Alligator mississippiensis: one gene and its partners. The protein of the gene in region 1 binds, or shares a complex with, the protein of each later gene. Links are inferred from orthologs where the notes say so. Each region holds a gene or a part of one and is shown in the gene's direction. Other genes may lie near its edges. The genes, in order: RAB11A, RAB11FIP3, SH3BP5 and MYO5A.

Region 1 (7,715 bases):
TTGAATCTATCAACCTTTAATACAATAATTTTAATTAATTTTCATTGCATAGCTTTAAGGTATAAGACACCTTCATTATAGGTCTCCATTTCACGGGAAAATGTATCTTGTTGGTCAGAAAATACAGTAGATATATTTGGTAAGGGGAAAATGGTCGTAGGATAATATCAGATTCGAGTCCCATGTTGTCAAAACCCCACAACTTGGGTAGAAGTAGGCTGATCTAATGTCCTGGATCAGATCCATCTCTTGTTATATGAACAGTAGAAGCAGGACGGGAAGAGAGTTTATAGCAATTCAGATAGACTTTCAGTAGAAAAATCTCTCCCTGCTCTGTGCTTTTTTTATAATGCCCACTTCAACCAGGAAACACCATGAAGGGAAGGACTTCAAGTACATTGCAGTCCTTTAAATTCAGTAAGGTCTGCTTAAAAAGGGAAGTCTGTTATTTAAACTGTCGGGTTTTATACTCTCTCCAGAGTGACTAATGTTGGGCTGGGGCTGGTGATGCCGAAAGTGACTCCTTCTCTTTTATAATTTACAGCCTTGATTGGAAAGCTCAGTGAATTATCTCTGCATAATTGCAATGATTCATTGCTTGTTAGAAAATTGGAAAGTATTGATTGGATTTCCCCCCTAGGAAATATTTCTCCTCTGGAAGAGCAGGGTAGGTTGCCTTTGCTCTGCTTTTGTCTTTCCTGCTTGTTAATAGAGGAAGCCTGTGGTCTCTGATCTGAGAAACAGGAATTTGGGTCAGCAGCCAGGCAAGGACAATGGTGAATTATTGTCACTTGCTGCTCCAGATCATTCTCTGAACTGCTCTCTGATGCGTTTTGCATGGATTGGAAATGTAGAGCCAGAAAACCTGCAGCCAACAACAGCAGTACTGAGTTGCCGACGTCCATTCCAGTTCCTTCAGCTCCCACCTCGAGTCACTCTGCACACCCCCGGGAGCCTGACGATCAAATCGGGGCCCTGCTTAGGTCAATGGCAAAGCTCCCGTTTGGTTTAATGGAGCTAGGAACCTACCTGAAAGCCTGGGCTTTGGGCCCTCTTTTAGGGCATATAGTAAAAAATGCGGGCACCAAGTCCAGCATCAAATGCCCCTTCCATGTTATTTATGCTCCTAATACGTCTCATTTGCATGATAGGGTCATGCCTGTACACATAGCTCATGCATGTACACATGAATAGTGCTGCTGCAGTTGCCTGTTTCAGCAGCTAGCGGCTGAGTTTCCAGAAATGGCTGTAAACATAGCTATGACTATGCCCCCTGCTTCTCTCCCGCATCAGACACTTGAGACCTATCTGAACCCCAACCCTTGTCTGCGCTCCAGACATGTGGGGTGTCTCTCAGCTGCTCATTGCAGAGAAGCATGTTTCTGTCTCAGCAAGGAATGTGAACCTGGGTGCAGCTGGGGGTTTTCCCCTGTAGCACTTGCACAAGACTGAAGCTCGTGGCACTAACTGGGTACAGCAACATAGGGAAGGGTACTGAGTCATCCCCCCCACATGCTCCCAATCCCTGACCTGCAGAAGCCTCTGTGATTGCAGCTCGGAGCATACATGCCCCGGGGCTGTGAGTGTACCTCATTGCTAACACACTGGAGCCCAGATAACCCACCCCTGGGTCGCCCAGTGCCGCACTGCTGCACCCTCTCCTTGGCTTGCACCACCCGTCCCATGCAAGTGGACTGTGTTACCAGGCCTCCCCCCACAGGAACGCCGACGTTTTGGTGCAGTGAAGGGATGCATTACAGCACGTGGAAAATGTACATACAAGGTACTTTTGAGATCAACTGGTAAATAAGAACGCCATTAATAAAGAAACCCACACAGGAAAAACTTCTCTTGAGTAGGAGAGCTCATCTAGCTTTCCATAGCAATGACAGTCTTTTAAAGCGTGAAATTAAGTTTCTGAAGTTCCAAGTTAAGAGACGAGTCTTCGTAACGACCAAGTTACAAAGAGAGCCCCACAAACTCTTGGTCACCCCACGGCAAGTCCAGGGGTTCATCACAATGGTGCAGTCCTTAATCCCTAGGTCCAGCACCAGAGCTGACCATAAATAAACTCATCGTTTGCTCAACTACATCTATTTTAAAAGCACGTCTTTTATGCTCTTAAATATAAAATATATATAAAATATATATTATAAAAACATGATCTATATATTCTATACTGAAGACCACAATCCTTACAATCACATGCATGACAAAATGAACATTATGACAAGCACCCCATTGGAGGCTGGCACTTTGCCAGCCTGCAAGGGAAAAGCCACGGTTTCCCACCTTTTTCTCCTTTAAAAGAGAACCCATTTTTAACTTTTTCACATATTCTTGCGACTCACGTTTGGGTGGCGACCCATGGGTTGAGACACACTGCCCTACAGAACAAGCACACGTGGGACCATATCCAGGCAGGCGTGTTTGCTTTAGGCAGAGCTCATGCCCTACATGGTTTGCCTTTTGTGTAGCCTTATCTGTCGGTAGCAAAAGGGTCTAATCTCCCCTACCGCACCCTGCTGCTCTGTCTTGCAGGAGGGAGTCTCCCATCCTCGCAGAGCTCGCTTGCACGGCTGCCCTGCAGCTCAGCCCGACACGGGGCCGCTCGCTCTCCCCGCGTGCTCACACCACCTCCCTGAGGCCTCAGCCGTCCCACTCGTGAGAGGGTAACACTTTAGGCCAGTGGTTCCCAGCCTTTTCAGACACGAGGCAGACTCCAGGCATCCCCGGGACAACACCAGCTCTTCGTTTGCACTCTGTTTTGACTACAGAAAAATTTGACGCCACTCAAGGCAGCGATTCCCTGGGCAACTTCCATACCCACCACTCCCAGCCTGGACAGCTGCTGGGCCGCCAGCCACGGCCACTGCTCTTCAGCCTCAGCCCCGCGCGCCCAGAGGAGCCCCCAGCGTTACCCCAGAGCGCTGCGCTCCTTGCTGGGCTGCAGCCGGCTGCCCCGTCCCATCCCGTCTCTGCTTCACACGTCTCCGGAGGGGCCGAGCTGGAATAGCGGGTGTCCCGCCTGTACGGGCCCAGCTCCTCCGGGCTACACTTATCCTAAATAATAAGGAAAAGGGACCACGATAGACTGTCCTCTGCCCTACCTCCATTCTTCTTCTGGGCTTACTTTAGCCCAGCCTGATGCTGGTGTCGTCTGCTCCCTCCTGCTCCGTGACCTTCCCTTTCTCCACACGCGCGGCCCCTCTGCCAAGCACATCATGCTGCCCCTTCCTAAACCCACGGTGCGTCCACGCCCTGGCTGCTGCGCTCAGCTCTAGGCCCAGACCTGGAGAAGGTGCGGAGGAGGGCGAGGAGGAGGATCCGTGGCACCGAGCGGGCCGACAAGGCGCTTGGTGGCGAAGGGACAGTCCGTGGGGACTGACCGTTGACGCCCCTTACCGGACCAGACCGGAGCCGGGCGCTGCGCGGAGGAGCACGCGCTCAGCTGAAAACGCAGCAGCTCTTGTTCACACGGCGCCGAGTCCAGGGGGTGTCGCTGCCACCCACGGGGGGGTGTGGGGGTCCGGGGGGGTCTGGCTGCCACCGACGGCGGGTGTGGGGGTCCGGCTGCCACTGCCGGTGGGGTGTGGGGGTCTGGGAGGGGGGTCTGGCTGCCACCGACAGGGGGTGTGTGGGGTCTGGGGGGGGTCTGGCTGCCACCGACGGGGGGTGTGGGGGGTCTGGGGGGGGGGGTCTGGCTGCCACTGATGGGGGGGTGTGGGGGTCCAGGGGGATGTTGCTACCACTGACAGGGGGGTGTGGGGGGTCTGGGGGGGGGTCTGGCTGCCACCGATGGGGGGGTGTGGGGGTCCAGGGGGATGTCGCTACCACCGACGGGGGGGTGTGTGGCTGCCACCGACAGGGGGTGTGGGGGGTCCGGCTGCCACTGCCGGGGGGGGGGGGGGGGTGTGGGGGTCCAGGGGATGTCGCTACCACCGACGGGGGTGCGTGGGGGCCCGGGGGCGGGGTCTGCCTGCCACAGCGGGGGGGGGGCGCGTGGGTATCAGCAGTAAGCTGCACGTGTCTGGGAGTGAAGTGAAAGGTTGAGTGCCGCGCGCGGGGCAATGCAGTGTAGTGCAGTGCCGTGCACTGGGGTTTCCCTCCCCCGCCCCGCGCTGCCCCGCCGAGGTGAGGGCGCGCAGCGGCCCCGTCGGACCGGCTGGGGGGGGGGGTGGGGGGGGAATCGAGGGAAAAAGATCAGGTTCCACCGAGATTTGAACTCGGATCGCTGGATTCAGAGTCCAGAGTGCTAACCATTACACCATGGAACCGCCTGACGCAGGCGCGCCCCGCCCGCCTCTAGAGCTTCCCGCGCCGGCTCCCTGCACACGCGTAGTAGCGTCTGCCCCGCCCCCCACCCTGCACGGGCAGCCTGGGGGGGCGGGGGCAGGCGCCCCGGAAGCAGTACCGGCAGCCACGCCCCCTCGCCGGCCCGGTGACCCCAGAAGCGCCTGTGGAGGAGGAGGCGGGTGTGGGGGGGCTCAGAGCGGAAGTGCCGCAGCGCCAGGGCGGGGCCCCGCGTCCGGCTCCTCAGTCCCCGGCGGCGGCGGCTCGGCTCGGCTCAGCTCGGCTTGGCTCCGCTCCCCCTCGGCACCATGGGCACCCGCGACGACGAGTACGACTATCTCTTCAAAGGTAAGGGCCGCGCCGGGGGGCATGTCCCCTCCCGCCCGGCCTGCGGGCCCGGCTCCCCGCACCGGGCGCGGGGCGGCGCCGGCAAAGGCGGCTCCCAGGGCCTGGGCTGGGCCCTGCGCTGGCGGCGGCGGGATGGGGTGGGGTCCCTCTACCTACCTACCCACCCACCCACCCACCTACCTACCTACCTGCACACACAGGGGTAGACACACGCACCCCCAGGGTAAGTCTCCCCGGCCTCCTCCTGCACTCCCTGGGCGGGCTGCCTGTCTACCCCCCCCCCTTTTTGGACCTATATACGTGTGTACACACACACCCAGCCCACTTTTTTTATTACACATATATATTCGCAAGCTGTTGTGAGCTGCAGCTTATTTCACCAGCTGCTGCAAAAGGGTGGGTAAAAAGCAGAGTGCGAGGAGAGAAATTAGACTAGGTGGGGACAGAGAAGGGGGGAGGGGAGGGAAGGGGCTGGGCCTGGACAGACAACCCTCAGACCTGTAGGACCAAGGGTAGAGTCCCCCTCTGCCTGAAGAAGGGCGTTTGTGCCCGAAAACTTGCGAAGAACAACTTTTGCAGCTGCTTAGTTGGGTAGATGTGATGTCGTCTATTAGACCCAAGAGCCCTGTCCGTCCAGGCGCGAGGGTGCCTCCCGCGTGGAGCCGGGCCGCGGGGTAAGACTAGTTACCCCTGCGCAGGCCTTGCAGCAGATGCTTCTTGCTTCCAAGCAGGATGATTAGAAACAAGGAATGACTCACTTTTTAAGGCAAAAGAGTTATCACGAGCTTGTATTTTATGGCTTCTTTTGCAAGGCTGCTGGTCTGTTCCCAAAGTGCGGGGGCCGCTGTGAAAACGTTAGGATGAGCAAAGATTGGTGGTGATGGTGGACAGGGTCTTGCACAGTTAAACGGTGCGTCCCTGAGCCTGGCTAAACTCCTGTTTGGGTCCGGTACTGGTGTGACACATGTATCTCGGTGCAGTAGAGTACGTTGTGTTACTTACCTGGCACTGCCTTTCTGCACTTGCACACCCACCGATCTCACTTCCTGTCGTCTCGCTTCGCGCGGCTCCCAGGAGAGCAGGGCAGCGCTGCCCAGGAGCTATGCAACTTCTTTTTTTGGTAGTTCGCTTGAACTTTATCACAGCGTAATATAAATGCTCTACTTCAAGTTCCACTTTCCATCACGTAAAAAAAAAATCAGCAATCTGTTGCAAATGTTCGCCAGAAACGCTGTAAAAGCATGCAGTTGAAGATAAGTTTGAGGTTACTTACTGCTTCAGCTAGCATTGAAAAATCAGTAGCTTGAAAAATATTTTAAGACCAGTGTGGAGTTAGAAGCAGATTTTCAGGAGACTATTAACTGCAAGCAGCTATATCTAGAATATTATTTTATCCCCTGTGTAGCGAAGGGGATGTTAGTTGGAGCAGATGCCGTATGGCAAAGGGGGAGTACAGAGTTCTTTGCTGTGCGTGTTTGTTTTTACCTGCTTGAAACCCAGCAAATGAAAATTGTCATTATTCATTTGGTTCATTTTCATTTGGAAAATGGCTTTCCTTACCCCCCCCCCAGCCTTTGATGGTGCTAATCCAGATTGAATTTTATTAGTAGATGTTAATTACATTTGAAACAAAGCCAGGGGGCCTGATTTCAACAGTTGTCCCATGTCAGTCTTACAGCCCAAGTTGCAACATGCCTATAGATAAGTCTTTTCTCGTCATTAAGGTAGATTTGCTTTTGGTGCATTCCCATTTACACTGGGAAATCACCAACTTCTACAAAATGATGTGTAAAGTGGACATATGAAAACGTGTCATCTTTACATCTTCTGTTTACATAAGACCGATGATAGTTGGCTTAAGGTAGCTGTTGGACATAAAATTAGAGGCAAATCGGGTTGAAAATGGTGGTTCTTATGGTATGAGCCCCACATGCTACAGTTCCAACTGAATCGGAGGATTTATAGCAAAACGGCTATCCCCTGACTGTTGAATGCCTAGGACATGCGGTTTGTCCCCATGACAATGCTGTACTACACAGTGGGCTGTAGGAAAGGCAGTGATGTCCCAGGGACTTGGAGCGTGAATCCCAAAAAACAGACATGGTCTATGTACCCTTGTCTGTCTGTGTCACATCACAAATATTTTTCCCCAGAAAAGTGAGGTTAAAAAAAACATGGTGGCATAACTAATACACTAATTCAGGGTGGCTTCTGAATTTCGTAATGTCGCTTTCTGACCTGGATTATAGAACCTGATGTAATCTAAAATATCAAGGAGGTACCCTAGACAATCTCAACTGGCTTTAACTTGTTTGTGTCTTTTTTTTTTCCCTTGTGTTTTGGATATTATGTAATCGTTAGAAGGTTTGGCTGCAGTGTTGGTTACACCTTCTGCGAAACTCCAAATTTGAGACAAGTGAACCAACAAACTCGCTTCTCATTTCTGACAATCAACTGATTTAAATATGCCAGGCCAGAGGAGTTGTACTTCCTTCCTTCTTTGCATCTTACTCATTTTTCCAGCTTTATTACTAAATCAAAAAAACTCCTCTGAAACTGGACAAACTCGCTGGTCTGGATTTCACACAATGCACTGTTGTCTCATATTTGCTCTGTTTATAGGAAAAACCCATCTCCTAAAAGCTTCTGGGTTTTTTAGCCTGCTAGTAAGCCCTAGATCAGAGGCTCTTTTTCCATTACAAATTAAGGTATTTCCCTCTGATGTAGTTTAATTACTGTCTCCTTTGGATTTAAGCTTGGAGAAATAGATTAGTAGCAGTATCTTTCCAGCATTTGTATTCCAGTATCTTTCCTTCTTGCATACTCTTGGAGGGCTCCTCCCATGTTTCAGAGGGATAAAAATGTGTAGGTACAGGGCTTCAGTTAGATGGGTTTGATGTTCTAGATGAAGGAGGTGTACCATTTATGATTGATACTTGTAGACAGTGCAGTCTTGTAGTACCAGTTTAGTTAATTTAACTGGAACCTGAATGTAATTTAAGCTAGCTCATGACTTTTATTTTAATATCAAATGTTTGATTTTTAATTCAGGTTTATAAGAAAGAAGAAAAGTT
Region 2 (7,478 bases), on another chromosome or scaffold:
GCGTGTTAGAACTGACAAGATCATAGCTATTGGATGATGTGGCTGCAGGGCAAGTTGCAGGCAAGAAGAAGTCAATTTTCACTTGATTTACTGGAGCCGACTATAAAATCGAAAAATCAGACAACAGATTAACTTTGCTCCCAATAAAATAAGTAAGGAAGTTCAATGGGAGAAGAGCCAATCCAAAACTAGGTGAGAATCCAGGATTTGGTAAAGAAGGTATGGAAGCAGGGGCTGGTGCTGCATAGTTTGCTGCAAACCTGCTCTCAACTTCTTTCCCCTCTACACTGGGGTGGGGAGACCATGCCATGGGAGAAGCTGCTGGGGACATTTTTTATGAATTAGGTAAGAACTTTCTCCCTTCTTGACACCCCCTTCTCTCCCCTCTACACTTAATGGCACCTTCCCTCCTCTCTTATTTCCCACAACTCCCACTCACCACTGCTGTTATTTATGCTGTCTCTGGCTGCCCTGCAGGTGGAGGGAGTTCTAGAGGTGCTCCTGCTCTTTGCCAGCCAGGGTGTACAGGGTGCTGGGCTCAGCCTGGGATAGCAGGGGCACTGGGAAGCAGGTTTCCCTTCCATGTACCTGCTCCCAGGCTATCAGGGAACACCAAAGGATTGGGCAGAGGGGAGCAATCTACCTGCCAGTGCTGCCACTGTCCTATTTGAGCCCAGCTCCCCATGAACCTAGCCATAACCTGAGTACATCTCCATATGCAATTAATGCAAAACAATAAACTCTGGAGCAGTTTGAGCTGTAGTAAACTGTTCCCAGACACAGCATCTACATATGTGCATGGAACAGCAGCCAGCCAGGCTGGAGCAGGCCCCCAGCTGGCTGGACCAATCAGGTGCAATTGATGCCTGTGGTCAGTATCTACATGTGCTTTGCAGCACAGTAAATTACCCTGATATAAGACATTACTATCTCTGACAGTACTATCTTACAGTGGAGCTGATTAGTTTTCTGTGCCTTAATACTGGCACACATGTAGACAGTGACGCTTTACTGCACAGCTAATTAGTCTACTCTGCAGTAAAGTGCAGGTGTAGATGCACCCAGTGTGTCCATATTGGGAGGTATGCCAGTATAACTGTAGTGCTTTAAATATGCACTTCAGCTTATAGTAATGTAACTTTCCCAGGTAGTGATGCTCTCAGGTGCATGTGTTACTTTGCCCATACCAACAGTTGAAATGAACTCCGTGAGAAGTACCCCCGTGTAGAGTTACTCATATAGCTCAGTATTTGCAGGATTGTAGATTAAGCTTATTAATAAATGGATTAAATACAATAATTCATAGTAAACTATATTTTTGCCAAATGGAAATGGACTCCCAGATGAAAAGTGTACTTTCTCCTGTTATGCACATTCAGCCCTATATAGGATGGAAGTAACAGGAATAATCCACCTTACAAGGACATGTATAGATTGTCACCCTGATGACACTGAAAACAATAGGTAACTTGCTGCCTGTCATGAAATTTGATGTTTGAGATCCTTGCTTGCCTGGGAGCTGCACAAATGCAATGATATTTGCAAATGTTATTCACTTTATGAATTCTGCATGAATTTATGAATGATTACCAGATTCCATCCAGGAAGAGCACACACCAACTGCTGCAGCTTCCTTAGCCTGATGAAGGGTTTTTGAACCCGAAAGCTTGCTCAATAACTATTCTCCAACCATTTGGGTTGGTCTAATAAAAGATATCAAATTCACCCAAGGAACCTTGTCTGCCTATGTCCTTAGACCAACATGGCTACAACCTAAACCCCTGAATGATTACCATGCATTAACAGAACACTCATTAATACAAAATATCTTTACAATAATTCTTTATGTAATGAATTTTGCCAAATAATTCATATTTGGCCAAGATGAACTCAAGGAATGTTGAAAACACTCTATTATTTTGCTGATAAAATATTTATGTACAATGGACATATTGCTCAGTTCTTTAATCCTTATCACAATAATATTTATTCTTATTTGAGACAATAAGGAATAAAAAACTGGGCATTAAGTCTGCTATAATATAAATATTTCACCAACAAAATAATACTATATTGTCAATTTTATGTCTTTACATTAGTGATAACATACTTGAGCACCGAGATAAGTGTTGACTTCAGGCCAATGGTTCTTGACATCATCTATATGGGGCTAATCTCTTTTGGTTGGGTTCTAACTGTAAATTTCCCCCAGAGGCAGATCCAGGGGGGTGCAGAGTTGTACCCCACTTTGATTGCTGCTGTACCCAATGTTTGAAACCAACTGACTGCAGTGGTAGCAGCATTTCTATTCAGGCAGCAGTGAGGGAGTCAGTTGAGTTCATGGCTCATTGTAATCTACCTGATTCTTTCTGAACTCTTCATTCCACAGATGCTAATAACCCTCTTTCCTTTTTAATGGTCTTGATGTTCCACTAATCAAGCTAGCTTTTCTTCTGCAATTCTGCTCTCTGTTAGGTGCTCCTGGTAATGTGGCTCCTATTTTACCATTTTGCAGACTTTTTTTAACTCATTCCAATAAAGTTGTGTGTTTTTGCATCAATCTTAACCTGAAAAATACAGCCCTAGGTCCCAGTGTATTAGCAAAGCTTCCTGTTTCTTTTTACCTGGAGAAAAGTATGTGTCATGTTATATGTGATGATGCACCTCACTATGTACACCCCTTTTCAAAATCCTAGATTTGCCCATGGTCTCCCATATAGCAGTATGGAAAATGTTGCATGTCCCTAGGGAGCCCAAATGTGAGAACCCTACTATAGGTCTGTCAGTTGAAGGAGTGACATCTGAGCCCTTATTTTGCTATTAAGGAAAGTTGATTTGTCAATATTGCTCTGATGCTTGAATTCCTAAATAAGAATCAGTTTTATTATTACCTTGTAGCTGTGATTGTCCAGGAATTATGTGAGAGGCAAGGATTTCCTTGGATGGTCTTTTATTGGGACAATTGCTTAAGACAACTTTTTCTCAGTGCAGAATATGTTCCTGACCTGAAGAAGGAGGTCTTGTGTTAGAAATCTTGTCTAACTCTATGTCAACTATGCAGTTAGTCCAGGAAAAGAGATCACCCTAAGAAATTCTTGCCTCTCATGAGCAAAATGAAGCTTCACTTTAAAATTTAACAAATATCAAGTTAATATTTTAACTTTGTTAGAAGTATTTATTAAGAGCTGCCATTGACTGGGCCAGACCACAGGTCCATCCTGCCCCATGTCCTGCGTCAGTGTGGTAGGGAGTAGATGCTGAAAGGGGGAGGGAGTGAATTGAGTTTTTTTCTACTGTTCCTCTCTCGCTTGCAGCCTCCAGCATTTAAAGTGTAGAGAGTTCTGCGCCCCCTAAATCCTCTCAGGATCCAGGTAGCAGCATTGCTGCAGGGAGGTCCTATCTAGCCTCCAGGAGGTGGCTATCTATGCCCGCTCCCCATCTCTCAAGGAATTGCATCTCAGTGGATGCATCTACATGTGTGCTTTAATGCACATTAGCCTATTTTAATGTGCTTTAAAGTGTCACTAAAAAAAACCCGTGGGGCATTTTTACACGTGTTCTGGGAGGCGTGGGGGTGTGTGTACTTTAATTCATGAGCAGTGCCAATTAAAAGCCCCTGAGCATCACGTGTATCAGTGTACCCCATGCTGGAATATGGTGGCAGGGCACTTTGAACTAAAGCTCGTTCAGTGAGCTTTAGTTCTACCACCCCACCGCCATTTTTAAGCAGGGATGCTGATACACCAGATGCAGGAGGCTGCTGAAGTGAGTAATGACCACGCTTGATTGAGTCTGTGCCAACCTGGTGTAATTCCAGGGTGTGGCTGTGGTTCAGGGGCATTTATACCCATAACTTTTATCCTCCCATGCATCAGAGATCTGGCGGGTTGGAGCAGACTTAATTAATTGAGCTGACACAGACTGCACTGTCGCATGCAGTTGTGTAAGTGTCAGTGTACAGAAAATGGCAGTGATGCACTTTAGTTCAAAAGCTGCCATTTTATGTGCTGATGCGCATTTTGCTGTTTGTACAACTGTGCTTTTAAAAGCCCCTGGTGCTGCAGCGCAAGCATATGTACAAATGCCCTAGGTCCCCGGAGGTACCAGATTTGATGTGGGTTAACTAAGGCGCATTAATGCACGTGTAGTCGCGCCCAGTGATTACTATCGCCTTGCTCTGAAGGGAGCCGACTCTGCCCGGCTCCGGCCCGTGCACAGCGCGGCGAGGAGGAGTCCCCGGCCCGGCGGGGGAGGAGAGGTCTGGCGGGGCCGCGGGCGGTGACGTCACCGCGGGCGGCTCGGGGCCGAGCGCCGCCGCATCCGCATCAGCGCGGGCCGGGCCGGGCGGTCCCCGACCCCGACCCCGACCCCGTCCCCGTCCCCCGGGCACGGCGTGTGCGTGTGCCCGGGCCCGCCCCGTGCGCCCCCGGTCCGGGCTGCGCCCGGCGACAGCGACGGGAGGAGCCTGCGCCGCGCGGACAAAGCCCTCCCCGGCGGCGGGAGGAGCCGCAGCGCAGCGGAGCCGGAGCCGAGCGAAGCAGAGCAGGGCGGGCGGCCCCCTTCGCCGAGCCCCGCTGCAGCAGCACCAGTCCTCGGCAGCGGCATTGCCCGGCCCGGCCCGGCCCGGCCCGGCCCCGCGGGATGTGAGGGCGGCGGCGGCGGGGATGGGTGCGGGACATGGCAGCGCCGCCGCGCCCCGGCCCCGGTCCCCAGGCGGCTCCTCGGCTGCGCAAGGGCCGGCAGCGCCCGCGCCCCGCGCCCGCTCGGCCCCGCGCGGCCCGGGCCGCAGTAGCCGCTGAGGGCTCCCGAGCCCAAGCCCGACGGAGTGGGGGGGCCGGGGCCCGGGCCCATGGAGCCGGACCCGCTCCTGCTGCTCCCGGACCCGCTCCTGACGCCGGGGGAGCAGGTGCCGCCGGCCCCGGCCCCGGCCCGGCCCGCCGGGCGCGGCCCCCGCGCGGAGCCAATGGGCGGCCCGGGAGCGCCGGCGGCTGCGGCCCGCGGCGGTGATGAGCGCGCCCGGCCCGGCGGCGGCGGCGGCTCGGATTCGGTCTCGCGGCAGCAGCAGCTCCTCCCGCGCCCGGCACCGGCGCCCCAGAGCTCGGAGGGGCTCGAGGAGGGAGGAGGCCTCGGGAGCCCGGAGCCCCCGGGCGGACGCCTCTCGCCTGCGCCCCTGTGGAGCCCGGCCCCGGGCTGCCGGCCGCCCCCGAGCGCGCAGGACCCCGGCTGCGGCCCCCGGCCGGGCGGCGACATGGACCCGCTGCCCCCCCGCGCTGCTTGCCAGCCCGAGCAGGCCCCCGGCGAGCCCCCGGCCTGCCCCGAGGAGGGGCCTCGCCTGCGAGCCGTCTTCGATGCCCTGGACCGCGATGGGGACGGTTTTGTCCGGATAGAGGAGTTTGTTCAGTTTGCCACCGTCTATGGAGCAGAGCAGGTAACCTATGGCCAGGCCCCTGGATTCGAGCCGGGCTGGCGTGGGGGACCTGTGGAGGTTGCCTGAAGGGCTTTGGGGTGCTTAGTTCTGGTGTTCAAATACCTTGCTCTCATATGAGGTAACCTGCTGTTCATAACGAAACAATGTTATCCTGAGCAGCTATTTAGGTGGGAGTGGGGGCCCCAGGTGGGCAGCACTCCCATTGACTTTGATCAGCATTGCTGCTTTTGCTTTAGGATGGGCACCATAGAGTGACAAAAGGGACAGTGGCCCTGGCACTGTTACGCTCCTTCTGTTGTCCTGGTCTGTGGCATGGTGTGTAAAACTAGGTGCTGCTCTAATTTCATGTAATTTTTAGATGCAAGGAAGACAGTTTGATATCCTGGTTCTTAAACCTTGTTTTAAATTGATGCATTTTAAACATTAGTTTTATTTCTGCCACTTGGGTAGGGAAGCAAAGACAGACTTTTAGAATCCTAACCCCATTCACGGTTTTCTTGGGTTCATTGGCCCTTCATGCTTTGCACCTGTTCCTGTTGGCTTGGCATGTGTCACGTTCCAGCCTAATGGAATAAAGAGTTACTGAGCGCTGATAACACGGACAGGGGCCTGACTGGTGAAAAGAGAGCTCCCTTAGCAGTTCTACAGGTGAAGAAGGATGTGTGCATCTGTGACCAGGTGGAGAGCTCCCTACTCTCTGGAAGTCAATTTGGCAATATCTTCCTCCATGAAATCAGCCTTTTATATTTTAGATGCTATTGTTTGCTTAGGTTAACCTTTCTATTAGACCATTCACCTAGGCTAAGTATTTGGGTAAAGACCCTCCTCTTAAGGTGGGGCTTGGATAAGTTGGCATCTTATTCTAGGTCCCTTGAACATCAAAATAATGAAAATTGTCAAGTGCGTATGTATTGTCTTAAGAAATATCGCTGAAGAAAAGGATTAAAACAAGAAAATTTGGCAGTTGTACTCCAGATATGGTTGAGTGGTCTTTGAAACAGTGTGTTAACCTGAGCAAATTTAGTGCCGTAGAGTAATTTTAAGCTTTTGGCCTATCCAGGCCTCTTCAGATGAAGGACATCAGTGGGTTTGAAAGAGGCATAGGCACAGAGGCCTATGCTAGTTTGAAAGCTTGCAGTGTGTCGAGGAAGCTAGCTGGCTGGAAAGCCTGTCCATTCATTTAAAAGGGAACTCCACTTTTATTGATTTCTGTGTTCTTCAAAGCAAATAAAACAATGCAGATCAAGCAGATGTTAAGCAGTTGGTCACTATTACAATACTTATAAACCATGGATGTTTTGTGCTTATGGCCACTATTTTTCTTGTACATGTGACCATATATGCGATTACTGAGCATCAAGTAGCTCCATTTCTGGCAGGCATGATTTTTCTCTTCTGTTTTTCTTCTTTTTCCGTTTTTTAAAATAGCCTTCTTTTTTTTGCCTTCCGTTGTATTGTACCATGGCAAGCTTGGATTTCAATTTATGCTCTTGTAGCAGCTCAAATGTGGTGATGTAATATGAAGCCACCTGGTCTGACTCAAAATGTAGAGAGCTAATGGTTGACATTATATAGAAGAGGACAAAAATAAATTAGTTGCTCTTTCAACCTTGGCTTGCACTGATACTGTCACAATCCCAAACTGTATTCCAAATAATAATGTGGTTTTGGCTCTGTGTAGATCTTAAAAGAGCTGCGAGCTTAAGTGAGGCAAGTCAGCCAGTTCCTTGTACGCACCTGGCATGCACACAATACATAGTGTCATGAAACAGCAAATACTATCTTGAATTTGTGTGTGCATTTCAAGCAGAGGAAGCTTTTGGTTTATTTCAAAGTGTAAGAAATTAATCTCATTCACTCTCTTATGGATATTTTCTAACAAGCCAACAACATATCCTTTAAATTTTCAAATCACAGGGAAGACTCCTTAAATCTGAGAGATGCTCTAGGAAAGGATGTGCATGAATGGCATTTGCCATCTTTATTGCATCATTAAATGAGTAATATACCTGTATGCAGATTTATAAGTTTGAGAACTCATTCCCAGGAA
Region 3 (7,419 bases), on another chromosome or scaffold:
AGCAACATTTCTCCACCCTTAACTTTATAAAAGTCACCATGGGTTAAGTGTAAGCAATTCGGACACATTTATGAGTTTGGTGGGGAGAAGCTGAAGCTGAGGAAGAGCCATGTTATGCAGTATTGTTTGCCGGAAGACTCCTTGGGAAGATAGTGGAAGTTACTTCTGGGCCTGTCAGACTTACTTCTCATTGATTGTGCTCTGAGCTTTCAAGCTTCTTTTCATAGTATGTGCTCTGCAGCTAGAGATAAGGGACCTGTATGGCTATTAAATAAATAAATAAATAAATAAATAAATAAAGGGAATAAAAAACCTGGCAAGAGTGCTGACCCTACACACAGCTACTTTGAGATCTGAGGGGGTTTTCCATGTAGATTTCCTTATGAACTTTTCTAGGAATTTGGGGTGCTTTGAGCTTCTTTCAGGCCATAGCTATCTTGTTTGTTTATACTAGTATCAGAAATATTGGTGGAATCTTCTACTGTGCAAAACTATCCAAGAAGCTTCAAACAATCCACCTATATGTTACCTTTCTGTTTTCATTGTACAGCAGCACCTTTGTTTGTCAGTATTTTAGGCTGCCAGTGTCACTTCAAAGACATATAATATTTGTAACAGAATATAAAATATTTTGTCACCACCTGCCCCACCCCCATCTTTTTTTCCTGATTTTTCAAAAGGAAAGTTTGAATGTTAAGTGTAATACCCAATATCCCCCCTTTCACTTTAAGCCTTCAGGATATTATTATTATGTTTTACCTTGTCTTGCTTTGCTGGGAGGACAGGAGTAACAGCTTTCACAGCCCTTTGGGAGTCTCTTGCAAAGAAAGGCACTTTTATGAAGGCTGCAGCCCCATTTTTTAAAGGACCTTTGATGATCACCTTTGAACAGTCCTTCAGCTAACAAGTGGCTAAATTAGGAACGGATACTTTTAAGGAAAAAATAAAAGGAAAAAAAGCTCTCTGCCAATTTCTTCTTTTTTTTAAATGATATTTACTATAACAATATTAAAAAAAATCACAGTAAACACATTTTTTCTAACTATGTCGCCTTTAAGTTATTAGGGTGTGAGGAATTTCTTTTGCTTTTCATCTGTCAGGTTGGACTATGAGAAGGGGAAAATGGGATTCATAGTTCTGAAAAGTACTCCTTTCCTCCTGCCTTCAAACAGGAGGCTCAGCCATATCTTAGGAAAAGGGGACAGAGAGCCAGAGTTCCAGGATACCCATCATGGTTTTTACTGTGCTGCATTTCCCAATGCAGAATTAGCACCAATCTGCTAGGAAGGTGTGTTGCTAGCAGATCAAGAGAAGTGATTATTCCCCTCTGTTTGGCACTGGTGAGAGCACATCTGGAGTACTGTGTCCAGTTTTGGGCCCCCCACTACAGAAAGGATGTGGACCAATTGGAAAGAGTCCAGCGGAGGGCAACAAAAATGGTTAGGGAGCTGGGGCACATGATTTCTGAGGAGAGACTGAGGGAACTGGGCTTATTTAGTCTAGAGAATAGAAGACAGGAGGGGGGGATTTAATAGCAGCCTTCAACTACCTGAAGGGTGGTTCAAAAGAGGATGGAGCTGGATTGTTCTCAGTGATGACAGAACAAGGAGCAATGGTCTCAAGTTGCAGCAAGGGGAGTTTAGGTTACACATTAGGAAAAACCTCAGTAGAAGGGTAGTAAAACATGGGAACAGGTTACCCAGAGAGGTGGTTGAATCTCCATCCTTAAAATTTTTAAGACCTGGCTAGACAAAGGTTTGACTGGGATAATCTAGTTGGGGATGGTCCTGCTTTGACCAGGGGGTTGGACTAGACCTCTTGAGGTCCCTTCCAGCCCTAAATTTCTATGATTCTATTATTCTAATAATCCTGCAGTTAAGGAGTGTCTAATCTAATGTTTAAATCTCTGAGCTATTACATGTCTTGCTATTGCTATATCAGTCAGGAGCTTTATTTTTACATGCCACCAGGGCTTTGCAAGAATGTTTCCTTTCTACTGACACAATGAGGGCAAGCACAGGTTTTTGGCGTTTTCTTTGTTTTGATGCATGCACTAGATACAATAGCTCTTGATTCAGCTGCCACACAATAGAAACCTGCTTTTGATTGAATTTTCAAGGTTGCCAGAAGTGTTTTTTTGCCAATACATTTAAAACACAGTGAGTTCATAAACAGTGCCTGAGGTAGAAAGGAGGCTATTCGATTATAAAGTGCACTTTCCTGCACCTGAAGCCACTAAGCTTTGTTGGCAGCACAAGGGTGTGGGCAATTGGTTATTTATCACAAACTGGTTTAAAACTTCATCTAGTGGAAGAGCAATGAGTGAGGTTTGTCTGAACAATAAAGGTCCCCTTTTCATAGCAGTATCTGACTTGAAATAAAAACAGGAAAAGCACAGAGAGTGCTTGTGATAAGGTCCCTCCTGGCATTTAAAAGTAGTTCATAGCTGACTGAGGTGGGCTCAGGGTGGATTCAGGGGGTTGTACTGGTGCATTTGCTTTCTGTTCCACCTAAGGTTGAAAACCAACAGCCTGGCAGTGGCAGCAGCCTTTCTAGTTGGGGAGTGCTGAGAAAATCCATTGACTTCATGTCTGATTACAATCTACCTGATCCTTTCTAAATGCTTTGTTCCACAGGTGTTAAGAACCCTCTCTCCTTTTCAGTGGTCTTGATGCTCCACCTGTTCTGCCATTCATGCTGTCTGTTAGCTGCTCCTGGTTATGAAGCTCCTCTTTCCCAGCCCTGCAGATTGTTTTTGACTCATTCCAATGTAACTAGACCTGTTCCTGCTTCCATCTCAAACTGAGTAACACAGCCCTAGGCTTATTTTCAGCTTATTTTCAATTGGGGGAAAAACAAATCTGTGTTGTTTCATCCCTGCTGATGCATCTCACCATCCGCACTCCCCTTCTCTGAATCCTAGTCCCACCCATGGGTGGGCTAGTGGGTAGGTAGGTGTTGGCCAGCTTCCCTTTCTCCCTGCCCTGACTGGAGGCTACTTGCTGGGGTGTTGGCATGAGGACGCCCAGTGCAGAATTCACCTTCTTGGGTTTCGGGGGGAGGTGGGTTCAAGCCAAGATACCAGCAGATTAAGGGATTCCCGCCCCCCCCCCCCTTCTTCAGCACTGGTGAGGCTACATCTGGCTACACCCGTGTCCAGTTTTGAGCCCCCCACTGCAGAATGTGGAGAAAGTGGAGGAAGTCCAGCAGAGGGCAACCAAAATGGTTCGGGAGCTGAGGGACATGACTTATGAGGAGAAGCTGAGGGAACTGGGCTTTTCTGGAGAAGAGAAGACAGAGTGAGGATTTGATAGTAACCTTTAAGTACCTGAAGGGTGGCTCCAAGGAGGATGGAGCTGGACTGTTCTTAGTGGTGGCAGATAGGGTGGCCATCATAGAGGACATTCTGGTGTTCTGCTACTCTCTCCTCTATTGAGATGAAACCGGAGGCCTTTATGTCCTCTATTTTTCTCTTGAAAACCAGACACAGGACTCCACATGAGGCCTCACCAGCGCTGAATAGAGGGGGGAAAAATCTCTTCATCTGCTGGTGCCTTGGCTTGAACCCCCACTCAGGAACCCAAGAAGGTGAATACTGCCCTGGTTGTCCTCATGCCAACACAATCCTGCCCCCCTGGCGGCAAGTAGTCTTCAGCCAGGGCAGGGGAAAGGGAAGCCGGCCAGCACCTATCTACCCACTAGCCCACCCGTGGGTGGGACTGGGATTCGGAGAATGGGAGTGCGGGTGGTGAGATGCAGCAGCAGGGATGTATCTTTCTTGAAGAGAAAACAGAGGACAGAAAGGCGTTGGGCTTTGTATCAATAGAGGACAACCGGGCTACGATGGCCACCCTGGTGGTAGATGGCAAAACAAGGAGCGAGGGTCTCCAGTTGCAGCAAGGGGAGTTTAGGTTGGATATCAGGAAAACTGTCTCACTAGGATAGTGGTAAAACACTGGAGCAGGCTACCCAGAGAGGTGGTGCAATCTCCCTCCTCGGAGGTTTGAAGACCCAGCTGGACAAAGCCTCGACCGGGCTGATTTAGTTGGGTCCCGCTGTGAGCAGGGGGTGTCCGAGAGGCCCTCTGAGGTCTCTCGCAGCCCGCGGCTCCGTCCCCTGGTGCGATCCGCGGGGACGCGGGCAGTGGGGCGTGGCCTGCCGGGCCGAGCCTGGCGTGCGACCCCTCCCCTCCGGGCACGGGCGGGCTCCCGCTGCGGGGGGGTCATCCCTCCCAGCCGGGCTCCCCCGCGCGCCGGAGCAGGGAGCCGGGCGAGGGCGAGGGCGCCGCACCCCGCGCTGCCCGCCCCTGAGGGGGGAGCGCTGGCGGAGGGAGGGAGGAGCCGAGCGCCGCCGCTTCCCTCCCCCGATCGGGGCGGCAAGCAGGAGGCGGAGGCCGGAGCGCGGTGACAGCGGCGGGGCGAGGCGAGGCGAGGCGAGGCGCCTTTCCCCCGCGCTGCTGCTGCTGGTGCGTGGGCGGCGGCCCCATGGAGCCCGCAGCGCGGCGGAGCCGGCCGGGGGAGGAGGGCGATCTCCCGCAGGAGGCGGCGGCGGTGGCGGCGGAGGAGGAGGAGGTGGACCCCAGGATCCAGGTAGGGCGGCGGGGCTGAGCCCCACACACTGCGGCCCCGGCCCCGGCCCCGGCCCCTCGCGCCGCGCCCCCGCCCGCTGCAGCGCTCCTCCGCCCGGGCCCTGCCTGCGGCCCCGTCCCGCCGCCTTGGGTGGACATCTCCTCACTGGGGTGGAGATGCTCTGCCGCTTTCTCCCCCCGGACGCCGCGCCGCGCCGCGCCGCTCCGGGCCAGGCAGTGCCCGAGAGGGGCTCAGCATGGAGCTGGGGGTGGAAATGGGTATATTCCCCCCTCCCCCCACAATCTGCTTCGTTTAGCAAGAGAATTTCCTACGTTGTTAAGGCGCTTTCAGGACGAAGAAGCCCTTTGGCTTGGCTCTCTTGGGGTGTCCTTAAAATGCTCCTCTCTTCTTCGTTTTTTTTTCTTCCCCTCCCCTCCCCTCCCTGCGGAGCAGGTCACCTCAGCTCCGTGCCTCGGCCACTCGCCTGGCAGGACGTTTGCACAAGTCGTCGTCCTGCAACAAGCCACCCCTTGGCTTAAATGTGCCGGCTGCTGACACCAGTTGGATCGCTTGCTGTGCCTGCGAAGGCCTAGGTCAGGGGTCAGCAATGTTTTTGGACAGTGTCAAAAATGCCCGCAAACTTGGCTTGTCAGATGTTGGCATGCCTGGGCAGATTGCAGGGGAGCTGCGAGGGGCCTGATCCTTGTTGTGGCAGCACAGCCCTGGCCCCTTCCCTGCCATCCACCCAGAGGCATGTGTGCCAAGCAAAAACGTGCCGCACTTGGGCACCCGTGCCGGTGGTTGCCTACCCCTGGAAGTCTTTGCAGGTTCGGGGCCTGGCTGCAGGGTATCATGGGCTGCTACTTTTGTCTTGACCTTTTGGTTAAAATCAAGCAAGACAAGCGGTGTCTGAACCCCAACACCTAGGCCTAGGGCTTGTATGTAGGATGCCTGTCTGGATTTGGGGGGGTCTCTGGAGCCCCAGACCAATCGGACTGGGAGAGAGGATACTTGCTGGATGGTAGAGCCACACAGGCTTGGCAAATGAGTTCTGCTCAGTTGAATTTTGGAACTTGAGTATTGGACTTTGCCCATTTAAATTTCCAACTCATTTGGCCTTGATAGAGATAAAAAAAAAATCTTTTTTTTCCCTAGAGATGTTCAGAATTATGGCAGAATTTGCAAGCACAGTTGCCCAAAGATAGGTCCAAGCTTACAGCCCCTCTCAGCATGTGTGTGTAAATGGCTTGATTTTCTCCCCTAGCTCCCATTGACTTCAATTTTAGCCTTAGGTTCCTTGATTTGGAACGTGCCTCCATTTATCAGATCCCTGGGAGCCTGATTGAATGCTGTTAATGAAATTGCATGCTTTTTTTGGTTATCTGGTTAAATTTTTGTAATCCGGTTAAATGCCTGTTGTTCTAACATTCGAGAGACAACTCTTTATCATGAAAGAGCAGTGTGAGGTTGGTGTGTCAATAAACTGTTTAATAGAAGGAAATTGTCTTTAAAGTGCTGGTAGTCTGGCATAACCTGACAGCTGAATTGTCAGAACCAACCTTTTTAGTTTTTTGGTTGTAACCAGAATAATTCTTGTTTAAAAAAAAGAAAGAAAAAAAAAAGTGTTTGATTTATGATGCCATTTCATTGATAAAATTGACTATTTAAGACCTGGTTTTGATACTTGGATTCATAGAGAATAGTGCTTGACTGGAGAGTCATGCTCCGGCCATGCAAGGAGTAAATGTTATTGCTCAGATAAGTAAGGATAGCAGAACATGGCCTAGAGGGATAGCTCTTAGGGAGGAATGTCAAGAAGAATGATCTGTGGTTGTGTAATAAGTCTTGCCTCCTATTCATTCATACTAAAGCCACCAATAGCAAATATTTAATTTATGGATTGATACTTCAGTTTTTGTTTTTTTTGGACGAGCAATTTTTGGAATAAAAGGTAACCAAAGAACGTCTGGCCTAATCGACTTGGTGTTACAAACAGTTGTGTCCTTTAACCAAAATATCCACCTAACAGCCTCTGAGGTATTGCAGGATTGCAGGATAAGTTCCTTTGCAAATTACTATACATGCTTGTGAGGAATATTTTCATAAGATTTTGTGTGTGCGCACAAAATCTCCTTCCCTACTACTGTGAAAGCAAATGGCCTCGTCCTAAAAACTGCTTCCCTGGGAGCTAACCAAATTTTATGTAATGAGACAAAGGTTATTATATGCAATATTTATACTAAATAAAAATTATTCAGGACAAGGCATATACTTTCTTGAAATTAGAGTACTTAAAAATGTTTCTGTACTTTTATATCTTTTTTCTAGTTAGACATTGAGTTTGAATGGCAGATTCTTCTTAGGTCTCGTATCTCTGTTTTCAGTTCATTCTTATTAAAAAACTAGGGGACTGTGGCATCGACACCTACACAGTCAAATGGATCACTAGTTGGCTGGAGGGCCGCACCCAGAGAGTGGTGGTGGACGGGTCATTTTCAACCTGGAGGGATGTGGGCAGTGGGTCCTGCAGGGCTCGGTCCCTGGGCCTGCACTGTTCAACATCTTCATCAGTGACTTGGACGGGGGTGTAAAAAGCACCCTGTTCAAATTTGCAGACGACACTAAGATGTGGGGAGAAGTGGGCATGCTAGAAGGGAGGAATAGGCTGTAATCGGACCTGGACAGGTTACTGTGGTGGGCAGATGAGAACAGGATGGGTTTCAACACTGGCAAGTGCAAGGTTCTGCACCTGGGGAGGAAGAACCAGCAGCATACCTACAGGCCGGGGAACTCCCTTCTCGTCAGTGCAGAGGCAGAAAAGGATCTTGGTGTCATTATTGATGCCAAAATG
Region 4 (7,840 bases), about 18 Mb from region 1:
AAAAGATTCCTATCCTAAACCATTCTGCAGTGTACTTGTACTTCTTTTCAGTAGGGCATCAGTCTATTGGATTGAATTATCTGTACTAAATACTCCTATGCAACTGTATGGACAGTACTGAAGAACTGAATAATACTAGTATTGGCAAACTAAAACCTAAAGGTATGGTCTGTAAATCACCAAAAATCTGGGGTTTGGAGATGGGATCTTTGGTATCAGAACCTGAATAAAAGTGGTGTACCAGTTAAGCATACTTTTGCTGGGAGAATCAGCTTCATATAACAGAAGCTTCTGTAACACTTTGAAAGGACAGATTCACATTGCAACTACATTGCCATATCTAGGGGAGATGCAACAAGCAATTGTCCAGCTGAGGGTTTGTTTTGATTATGGATTTGTATGTTGCTTTCCATGTACATGCTGAAAGACTTGTGACTTCTCTTGTGTGAAACTGCCATGTTACACCTTGTACTGAGTTGCACAAACATTGATTGGTGTTAGTGCTAGCTTGGAATTTAGAGCTGTCACACGCAGTCATGAAATCTTCTCTGACTGTGCCCCACCTGCACAGCTGTGACTTGCCACTAGGAGGCCTGGTGAGCAGGTGCAGGACTAGGAGCTGTAGCTACTAGAGGGATGGTGAGCCAGGAACACTTCCATCCTTGCTGAAGGACTGCAACTTGGGCAGCACATCTGTTGGGACTGGCCACACCTTAATGGAACAGGAGCTGAGTTGTGTGAATCGGAAAGAATCCTGCCCTGGAGTAGCGTAATTTTGAGCTGCATAATAAGTGCTTAAAACCACTTCAAAATGTTAATGTGCAGACAGTCCGGGAGGGTTAAGAGCTCCAAGAGCTGCCCAAAATTACTATGCAACAAGGTATCAAGTAATGAACACCTCTTTGTTACTTATCACCATTTGTCACTTGTATCTTGTAGATGTTTAGTTAGTCACAATGTCCCCTGAAAGATTTGTTCTAAACTTTGATTGGAAGAGGATTAACAACCTTTACCAAGTTTATATGCATGTTACTTGCTTTTGATTCTATCCCAACCTAATTAATTAGCAAATTCTTCAGGAGTTATTTCTAGTATTTGACTCTATCACAAAATAATATGCTATGGAGAGTTGTAATGCCTTTTGCTCTATGAAGGACTTGCATCTTATGCAAGTTCTTTAGTAAACTATGAAGAAAGGCTTTAACAGTGTATTTTTAAATTCTTATATGGCATGAATGAAAATTATGGGTTTTTTTCAAAGCAACCTTTGCATTGCAGGTATGTCTAGAACTCATTATGTTAACTAACCTTAAAGTTAGTTAAGCACTCCCAATTACTCCTGATATAAAATTAAATCTATGGTAAAGATGCCAGTAGTGCATCTATCTCTAAAACAAGAAAAAGCTGTTTCTAGCTGAATTTGGAAGAGACTTAATGTTACCTAAAAAAACCTGCCATCTTTTCCTACCTGTGCCCATTATGCCAGCAGCAGGCATTGATTCTGTGTTACTATATTATTCCTTTTTTGGAGTAACCATTTGATCAGCTAAAGAAATCATCAGTTGTAGTATGGCATAAAATGTCTACCCATGTCTAAGGATCTGGTCCCTTAAACTAAACTATAACATGGGTAGAAATTCCAAAGACTTTCTTGAACAAATTCTGCTGAATCCTTCCCCATTTTAAAGTTCTGAAAGGATAATTTTCTTTGCTGATGTCATTTAAAATCAGTATACAATATTGTATATGGATGTTATCACAGCTAGGTTAGTTACATTTGTAAATGTTAACTGTGATACTTGTATTCTGAAATCCTTTCATCAGCTCTGAATTTTTTTTTTTAAGATAGACAGATTTCTTTGGGGGTTGTTTTTTTTTAAATCTATTTAGTTAGACCGATGGTTAAGGAGCATGACTGGTTACTTATAGGTGTAGTACAGGAAGGCTGTATCTATTTTGTCACTGTCTTTAAAATCTGACCTTTAACGACAGACCTGAGATTTCAGTTTTGTGCTGAATAATGTTGAGACAGGAGTATTTTGGATAGACATATCTATTTTTGACTCGTGATTATAATTCCATTTGAATCCAGGGCTCCAGCTGTGAATGGCTGATACAATAATCCACAGTCCAAGCACGCTAGTGAAAGCAGCAGTGTGGATTTAGCATTTGCATTATCCCAAAGCAGCACGGTGGATGTTGGGTGAGAGCAGGCGCATACAAAAATTTTTAAGTTCTTATAATAAATAAATATCAAGTGAAGGATGAGAGTCACACTTGAGACAAATGATGATGTCAGTGATGACAGATAAGGAAAAAAAACCTGAGGGCATGTCACATGGCCAGGAGGGAAAAGGTACAGGCTCTAAAGAAGTAGGACATTCACGGAAGCTTAAGATACTGGATATATTGATGAGGAAAAGACCATTGTAAACATTGAGAGAAAGAAGACACCAATTACAGCTTAAACTGATCCTGGAAAAATTAATATTTATTTGTGATGTTTATTGACCATAGAGCATTGGAGCAAAGGACAACTCCCTTTTCAAAAGCTCAGCTTCCTCCCTCTCCAGTCTATTAAAAAAATCTGTTACTGATATTTTTTTGCTTGTTCTTACTATATCACTCTCCCAATCCTTGTGTTTTTGATCCTCTTGGCTGTCCTTCCTAGCCTGACCTTATGCCTTCACCTACTGCTCTATTTGGTCCATAATACCTTCCTTCATGTCCCAGTTGTCTTTTCCTATAATCATCTTTTTTTGTATGCTGCTCTGGCCTGTTCTGAACTGGCCTATAGGACCACTAGCCCATCCACATTCAAATCCTCCATGAAGGCTCGCTTGCTTTGCAATGCAAGAAGCTAACCAACTACGTATTTGCCTTTATATAGAGTAGCTTCACAGCATGCACTCACCTTCACAGACTTTGCTGACCTCTCTCTCCTTAACATCACTGCCAAAACTGTTTGTAATTTATTCTCTGCCCCTATTTCTGCATCCAGTCTGAAACTGGAGTGTAAGCCTTTCTGGATGCTGAGTGTGAATTCTTATCTGTGCCTAGCAAACTGCTGTAAAATTATTATAATGTTTCGGCCATGGCAAAGAATGTTAAGAGCATTTGTGGAGGAAGCACGTCCCCTCACAAGTTGTCAGATTCCCCCCACACTTCTCTATTGCCCTCATCCCTGATTAATAGGCTTTTGCTAGTTTTCTACTTTGGCTTTTTGGTTACTTTCATTGGCCTCCTGTAGCTGACCTCCAGACCACTCTTGCGGTTGGCAATTACAGGATTACCACAATGAAGAGAATCTGCAGAATTGATCCCAGAAGGAAGAAAGGATACTATGTACCATTTGTATCCCTCAAGGAGTTGGGGAACAGCTAGAAAAAAATCATGGGCTATCTCCAGTGAAATTCTAGTTCCTTCTCCCAGTGAATTTAAAACAAAAATAAAGATGGGAGCAGTGAAACTGCTGCACAGATGTGCCCTAAGGCTATGCTTTTATAGCGGTCTCAAATCATGGGGAAATGAATTTGTAACAAAAATTTAACTGCCAAAAGGTCTGTCTGAATTTTTTAACCCTTCAGTGGTCTTAGGCTGAAGCATGTGCAATGCTGAAGCAAAAAGGGTTGGCACAGACTTCCCTCTACCAGGAGGCCTCAATGTCCCTGCCTGCACTTGCCTGGAACCATTTTCTGTAAGCATCCGCCAGGGTTGGTCTGCTCCCTTGCCTGGGAGGTGCCTATATATCAATGCAAGTGGCTTTGGCAGTGGCCATTTGGACAGGGGAGTGGATGATTGCAGGATTTGCACCTGACACCACACAGATATGGCCTGTGGGTTTCACCTCGAGAATGATCGTGACACAGGCGAGAATTGGTGTTTAAAAGGTGCATAATAGAGAAATAGGGGTGGAAGGGACTTGCAGAAATCGTGCCCCTTCCTGAGGCAGGATCAGCCCCATCCAATCCATCCCATACAATTTATCATCTAAGCTTGATATCAGGCTACTGTCCGCCCTGATGCCACGCAGACCAAACGCGAACCTGCCACTGGTAAAATGGACCACAGCAGCCAGTATCCTACTTCTATGAAACGTTGATACACGCTCAAGGCAGACAAGGTTCTTTGGGTAAACGTGGTCGCTTTTATTAGACCAACTAAATGGTTGGAAAAAAATGTTCTTTGGGGCAGAAACACTTTTCTTCAGGCCTAAGGAGAGTCGGCGGGTGTCTGCTCTCCTGGGTGGACTAGAAGATTAAGCCAATATGAAAAATGCAGGTCTGTGAAAATACAAATGTGTGGCAGGGAAGATGCGGGGACGGGAGGTACAGGCAGGGCTACAGAGGAGCGGACTGGTAAGAAGACGACGCTGCAACATCCTCCCCCTTTCTGTTTTGTTTTCCCTCCCCCTGATCTTCCCCGGGAGCCTGGACATGCCCGGAGAAGGATGCCCGAAAGCCTGCGACCAACTATTTTTCCAACTATTCAGCCGGTCTAACAAAAGACATCACCTTTCCCCAAAGCACCTCGTCCGCCCGCGTGCTTGGACCGGCGCGGCTCCACCCGCCAACCGATTTCACGGTCGGGAGGCCGTGGGCGGCGGTGTGCGCCGCCCCGAGCTGAGGGACGAGCCCGTCCGGCGCGGGACAGCAGGCCAGGCGGGCCGTGCAGTGCCAGGGCGGCGCCCCAGGAGACAGGGCCCCAGGCCGAGGCCGAGGCCGCGCTCAGCGTCGCGCCGCCCGCACCCCCGCCCAGCGCCGCCTTCCCACAATGCACCGGGCCGGGGCCGGCCGCGCCGCGCCGCACAGGTAGCGCCGGCTCCCCCGCCCCGCCCCGCCCCGCCTTAGCGTCGGCATCGGCATCGGCATCAGCATCCCCCGCGCCCGCCCGCCCGCCCGCCCGGGCGGCATCATGGCCGCGTCCGAGCTCTACACCAAGGTGAGGGGCCGCGCCGGGCGGGGAGGGGAGGAGATGCCGTGTGTGTGTGTGTCCTTCAGGCATCCGCGGCCGATGGCGGCAGCGCCGCCGCTCCCCTCCCGGTCGCCTCCCCCACACCCGGGCCGGGAAGCGGGGGGTGGGGTGGGGGGTATCTGCCCCGCCCTGCCGCAGCCGCCGCTCCCGGCCCTTCCCGCCGCGGCATCGCGGGCTCGGGGGTGCCGGCTCCGCCGCGCGTTTGCATCCTCTCGGGCCCGGCGGGCTGCGCGGGGGGGGATCCTTCCCGGCCGGGTCCCCTGCAGGTCCGGCGCGCGGGCAGACCCGGCCTCCAGCACCGCCCGCCAGCAGCAGCCGCTGGCCGCAGGTCTCATCCACAACCCCTCGCCTGCCGACCCTTGGGGTTTCTCTCGTTTCCAAAATCCACCTTCCTGCTGTTGTCTAAAACCAGTCTCGCTTCTTCAGAACTGTTCTGCCGAAACAGGCATGGGAGACGGGGCTGAGCCGTTGCAGCCTTGCGGGGAATCTCTGTGGGTAATGGTAGGCTACGATCCTCCTTGCCTTCTGCCTGGCTGAGATCCCTGCTGCCAGCACTGATGCAGGAAGGGGACTCTTTGTAGGGCCACTTTTCAGTCAATCTCTTAATATAGTTTAGGGTGAATTTTACTACCTCTCCGTGTGAACTGCGGAGATCAGTGCAGAAGCGCTGCATACGTGTGTTACTGACCGACAGGATTAAGGTCCATTGCAATGCACATTTTATGCATTAGCAGTAAAGTGTCTCGTGTGTGTGTGTGTGTGTACCTGCAGCAAAACTATTGATCACTGATTTTTCTTTTCTTTTTTTTCTGGCAGAAAGGGCCATTGTAGTCATTAGGTATGACCCCATGCCATTGAATTTTATCAATCTTATTGTATCAAGTTTGTAATTTCAGGTTGAGTTTGGGCATATTTTATTAAATGGTGTCCAGTCTCGAATTTTCCATTGCTTTATAACATCAGTTACGGTCCAGCTAGTTACTCGTGTAAGTAGGGAATATGAAAAGAGAGTATTTCTGCACTGGATGATTCTTTCACCGTGTTTGCAGTAACTGCCCATGGATATACAATGGGTAATCCCTTTTGAGGATGATGAGTCAATACAAACCAAATTCTTGATACAATGTTGACGTGTTTCATAGGCCAACTCTAAACAGTGTGTGTTATGGGAAAAGCTGGCTCTTGGCCAGAGACTGGACCAATCACATAAATGAGAGACTGAAAAAAAATTGTGGAGGTGATGGTTAGTTGATGATAGACCGAGGTGCTCTAGACCAGTGGTTCTCAACCTCTTTCAGTATCAGGACCCATTTGTAAGCATTACTGGCCAGTCCCAAACTATCACTCACTGCCAAATTCCCATGCCTCTTCCACCAGCACAGCCAGATCTGGGGCGGGCATTGCCCTCTTCCCTCTGCCAAGTGAATGGAGCTGGGCCGTGCCCTCATCTCTCCATGTGGCTTGATCAGTGCCAAGCCATGCCCCTTTCCTGCCATGGGCCTGGATCAGGCTGGGCAGCCCCACTGGTCTCCTCTGAATGACTGGATGGAGCCCCGCTGCATCCACCCTGGGTGCTGGATCAAGGCCATTGGCCACATCCTGCCCTTGGACAAACTGAGCACTGCCCGTCCAGCCCACCAAGGAGAAAAAAGGCTGAACACCACTGTTCTAGACAGCTGCTTATATTAAATGTATCTGCATAAACAAATGAAAATAAGCATTCTGGTCAAAGGAAGTGTGGGCACAGCTGGCCTTAAAAAATTCACTAGACATCTATTTGTCCTTGTATATATTTAAGAATAGCTATTCCTGATTAACAAATTGTGCAGATGCTTTTATTCCACAATAAAAATGTTCAAAATGGGAAAGTATAGACACTTGATTAAGTTAACACTAGATAAGTGTCAGCAGGGTATTGCAGTGTTTCAGCTGTTCCATGGTAGTGGCCTTTGTGCATGTATTGTGCATAATAACTGAACACTAGCCCATGTCACTTTATCCTTAAACTACTCTGGTGATTCTCAACCAGGGTGCCACACAATGCTAGCACTGTTAAGTGTGCAAACATGATTTACAAGATAAACCCAGAGTTTTCAAATTGGAATCCACAGTGTTAAAAACATTCTAGCCTGTTGTAGTCTTTGTCTGAGTTCTGTGCAACAGCAGAATTGTTCTCTTATTTTTCTGTAGTCAAAAAACAAGTGAAAGCTCAAAGCTGGTATTTTATGAGGGGTGTCTCCAACCTATCAATGGGAACATCAAGTTGAAAAAGGTTGAGAACCACTGGACTAACCTATAGAAGACTAGCGTTCATTTACTGCAGGACAGATTTGTTCAGATAGATGAACGGTTACTCTAGAAAGAGGTGGTTAGTCATGGAGCAATGAAAACACTGTAAATTTCCACCCACGTGCATCTTCCACTAACTTGATTATATGTTCGTATCCAGAGTTAAACAGGAATAGCTATCCTGCTTTAAATTCACACCCTTCCTACCTTGTGTAGGCCAACTTTTTACTAGGCTGCTAGAAAGGACTAGATTTCCTGTCGTTCTGGGACAGCGCCCTTATGACAGCTTAGCAGCCTTTATCAGCTCCTGAAGAGGGTGATGGTACATGAGCATATAATAGACTTGAAGGTCTCCTGATTGCTGGAGGAGAGAGAATTTTTGTTTTCTTCCATTCATCATCTCAGTTTTTGTCATATATATGTCCTCCCACCTCTGTTTTCCAATTTTTAGATGTTTTATTTAGTGAATAAGAACAGTAGAGTAAACTTACTAAATAAGGAACATAATGACTTTAAGATAGTGGGCAACGGTCCTGTATAATAAAACAAGTGCAGCATATAGTCCCCCAGTAGAGGA

What was found.
Region 2: the proteins of RAB11A (region 1) and RAB11FIP3 are in contact, whole or in part, in a crystal structure (PDB 2HV8), measured with the Homo sapiens proteins. The link is inferred for Alligator mississippiensis from reciprocal best matches to the Homo sapiens genes RAB11A and RAB11FIP3. Residues at the interface, in NP_004654.1 of Homo sapiens: Arg33, Ile44, Gly45, Val46, Glu47, Phe48, Ala49, Thr50, Trp65, Arg72, Arg74, Ala75, Ile76, Ala79, Tyr80, Arg82; in NP_055515.1 of Homo sapiens: Asn731, Phe732, Gln735, Ile738, Asp739, Arg740, Ile742, Val743, Met746, Glu747, Pro750, Ser751, Leu753, Glu754, Val755, Lys756.
Region 3: the proteins of RAB11A (region 1) and SH3BP5 are in contact, whole or in part, in a crystal structure (PDB 6IXV), measured with the Homo sapiens proteins. The link is inferred for Alligator mississippiensis from reciprocal best matches to the Homo sapiens genes RAB11A and SH3BP5. Residues at the interface, in NP_004654.1 of Homo sapiens: Tyr8, Asp9, Tyr10, Leu11, Lys13, Glu35, Phe36, Asn37, Leu38, Glu39, Ser40, Ser42, Thr43, Ile44, Phe48, Lys58, Gln63, Trp65, Tyr73, Ile76, Ala79, Arg82, Gly83; in NP_004835.2 of Homo sapiens: Asp42, Ile45, Gln46, Leu49, Glu50, Asn53, Thr56, Ile59, Asn60, Glu63, Thr64, Glu67, Lys240, Tyr243, Leu247, Leu250, Glu251, Ile253, Ser254, Asp255, Ile257, His258, Arg261.
Region 4: the proteins of RAB11A (region 1) and MYO5A are in contact, whole or in part, in a crystal structure (PDB 5JCZ), measured with the Homo sapiens proteins. The link is inferred for Alligator mississippiensis from reciprocal best matches to the Homo sapiens genes RAB11A and MYO5A. Residues at the interface, in NP_004654.1 of Homo sapiens: Arg33, Glu35, Ile44, Gly45, Val46, Glu47, Phe48, Ala49, Thr50, Gln63, Trp65, Gln70, Tyr73, Ala75, Ile76, Ala79, Arg82; in NP_001369276.1 of Homo sapiens: Ile1660, Gln1661, Trp1738, Met1742, Arg1745, Tyr1746, Ser1749, Gln1750, Glu1753, Arg1756, Gln1777, Gln1780, Val1781, Lys1782, Lys1784, Met1795, Glu1818.

Annotation. Positions count from the first base shown.
Region 1 is NC_081834.1:5,472,572-5,480,286, reverse strand, and holds the start of RAB11A (ras-related protein Rab-11A), read left to right. Parts: upstream 1-4,482; 5' UTR 4,483-4,601; coding exon 4,602-4,641; intron 4,642-7,715. UniProt on the Homo sapiens protein: The small GTPases Rab are key regulators of intracellular membrane trafficking, from the formation of transport vesicles to their fusion with membranes.
Region 2 is NC_081836.1:26,509,025-26,516,502, forward strand, and holds the start of RAB11FIP3 (rab11 family-interacting protein 3), read left to right. Parts: upstream 1-4,346; 5' UTR 4,347-4,849; coding exon 4,850-5,428; intron 5,429-7,478. UniProt on the Homo sapiens protein: Downstream effector molecule for Rab11 GTPase which is involved in endocytic trafficking, cytokinesis and intracellular ciliogenesis by participating in membrane delivery. Recruited by Rab11 to endosomes where it links Rab11 to dynein motor complex.
Region 3 is NC_081828.1:140,206,116-140,213,534, reverse strand, and holds the start of SH3BP5 (SH3 domain-binding protein 5), read left to right. Parts: upstream 1-4,265; 5' UTR 4,266-4,484; coding exon 4,485-4,589; intron 4,590-7,419. UniProt on the Homo sapiens protein: Functions as a guanine nucleotide exchange factor (GEF) with specificity for RAB11A and RAB25. Inhibits the auto- and transphosphorylation activity of BTK. Plays a negative regulatory role in BTK-related cytoplasmic signaling in B-cells.
Region 4 is NC_081834.1:23,337,398-23,345,237, reverse strand, and holds the start of MYO5A (unconventional myosin-Va), read left to right. Parts: upstream 1-4,815; 5' UTR 4,816-4,914; coding exon 4,915-4,941; intron 4,942-7,840. UniProt on the Homo sapiens protein: Processive actin-based motor that can move in large steps approximating the 36-nm pseudo-repeat of the actin filament. Can hydrolyze ATP in the presence of actin, which is essential for its function as a motor protein. Involved in melanosome transport.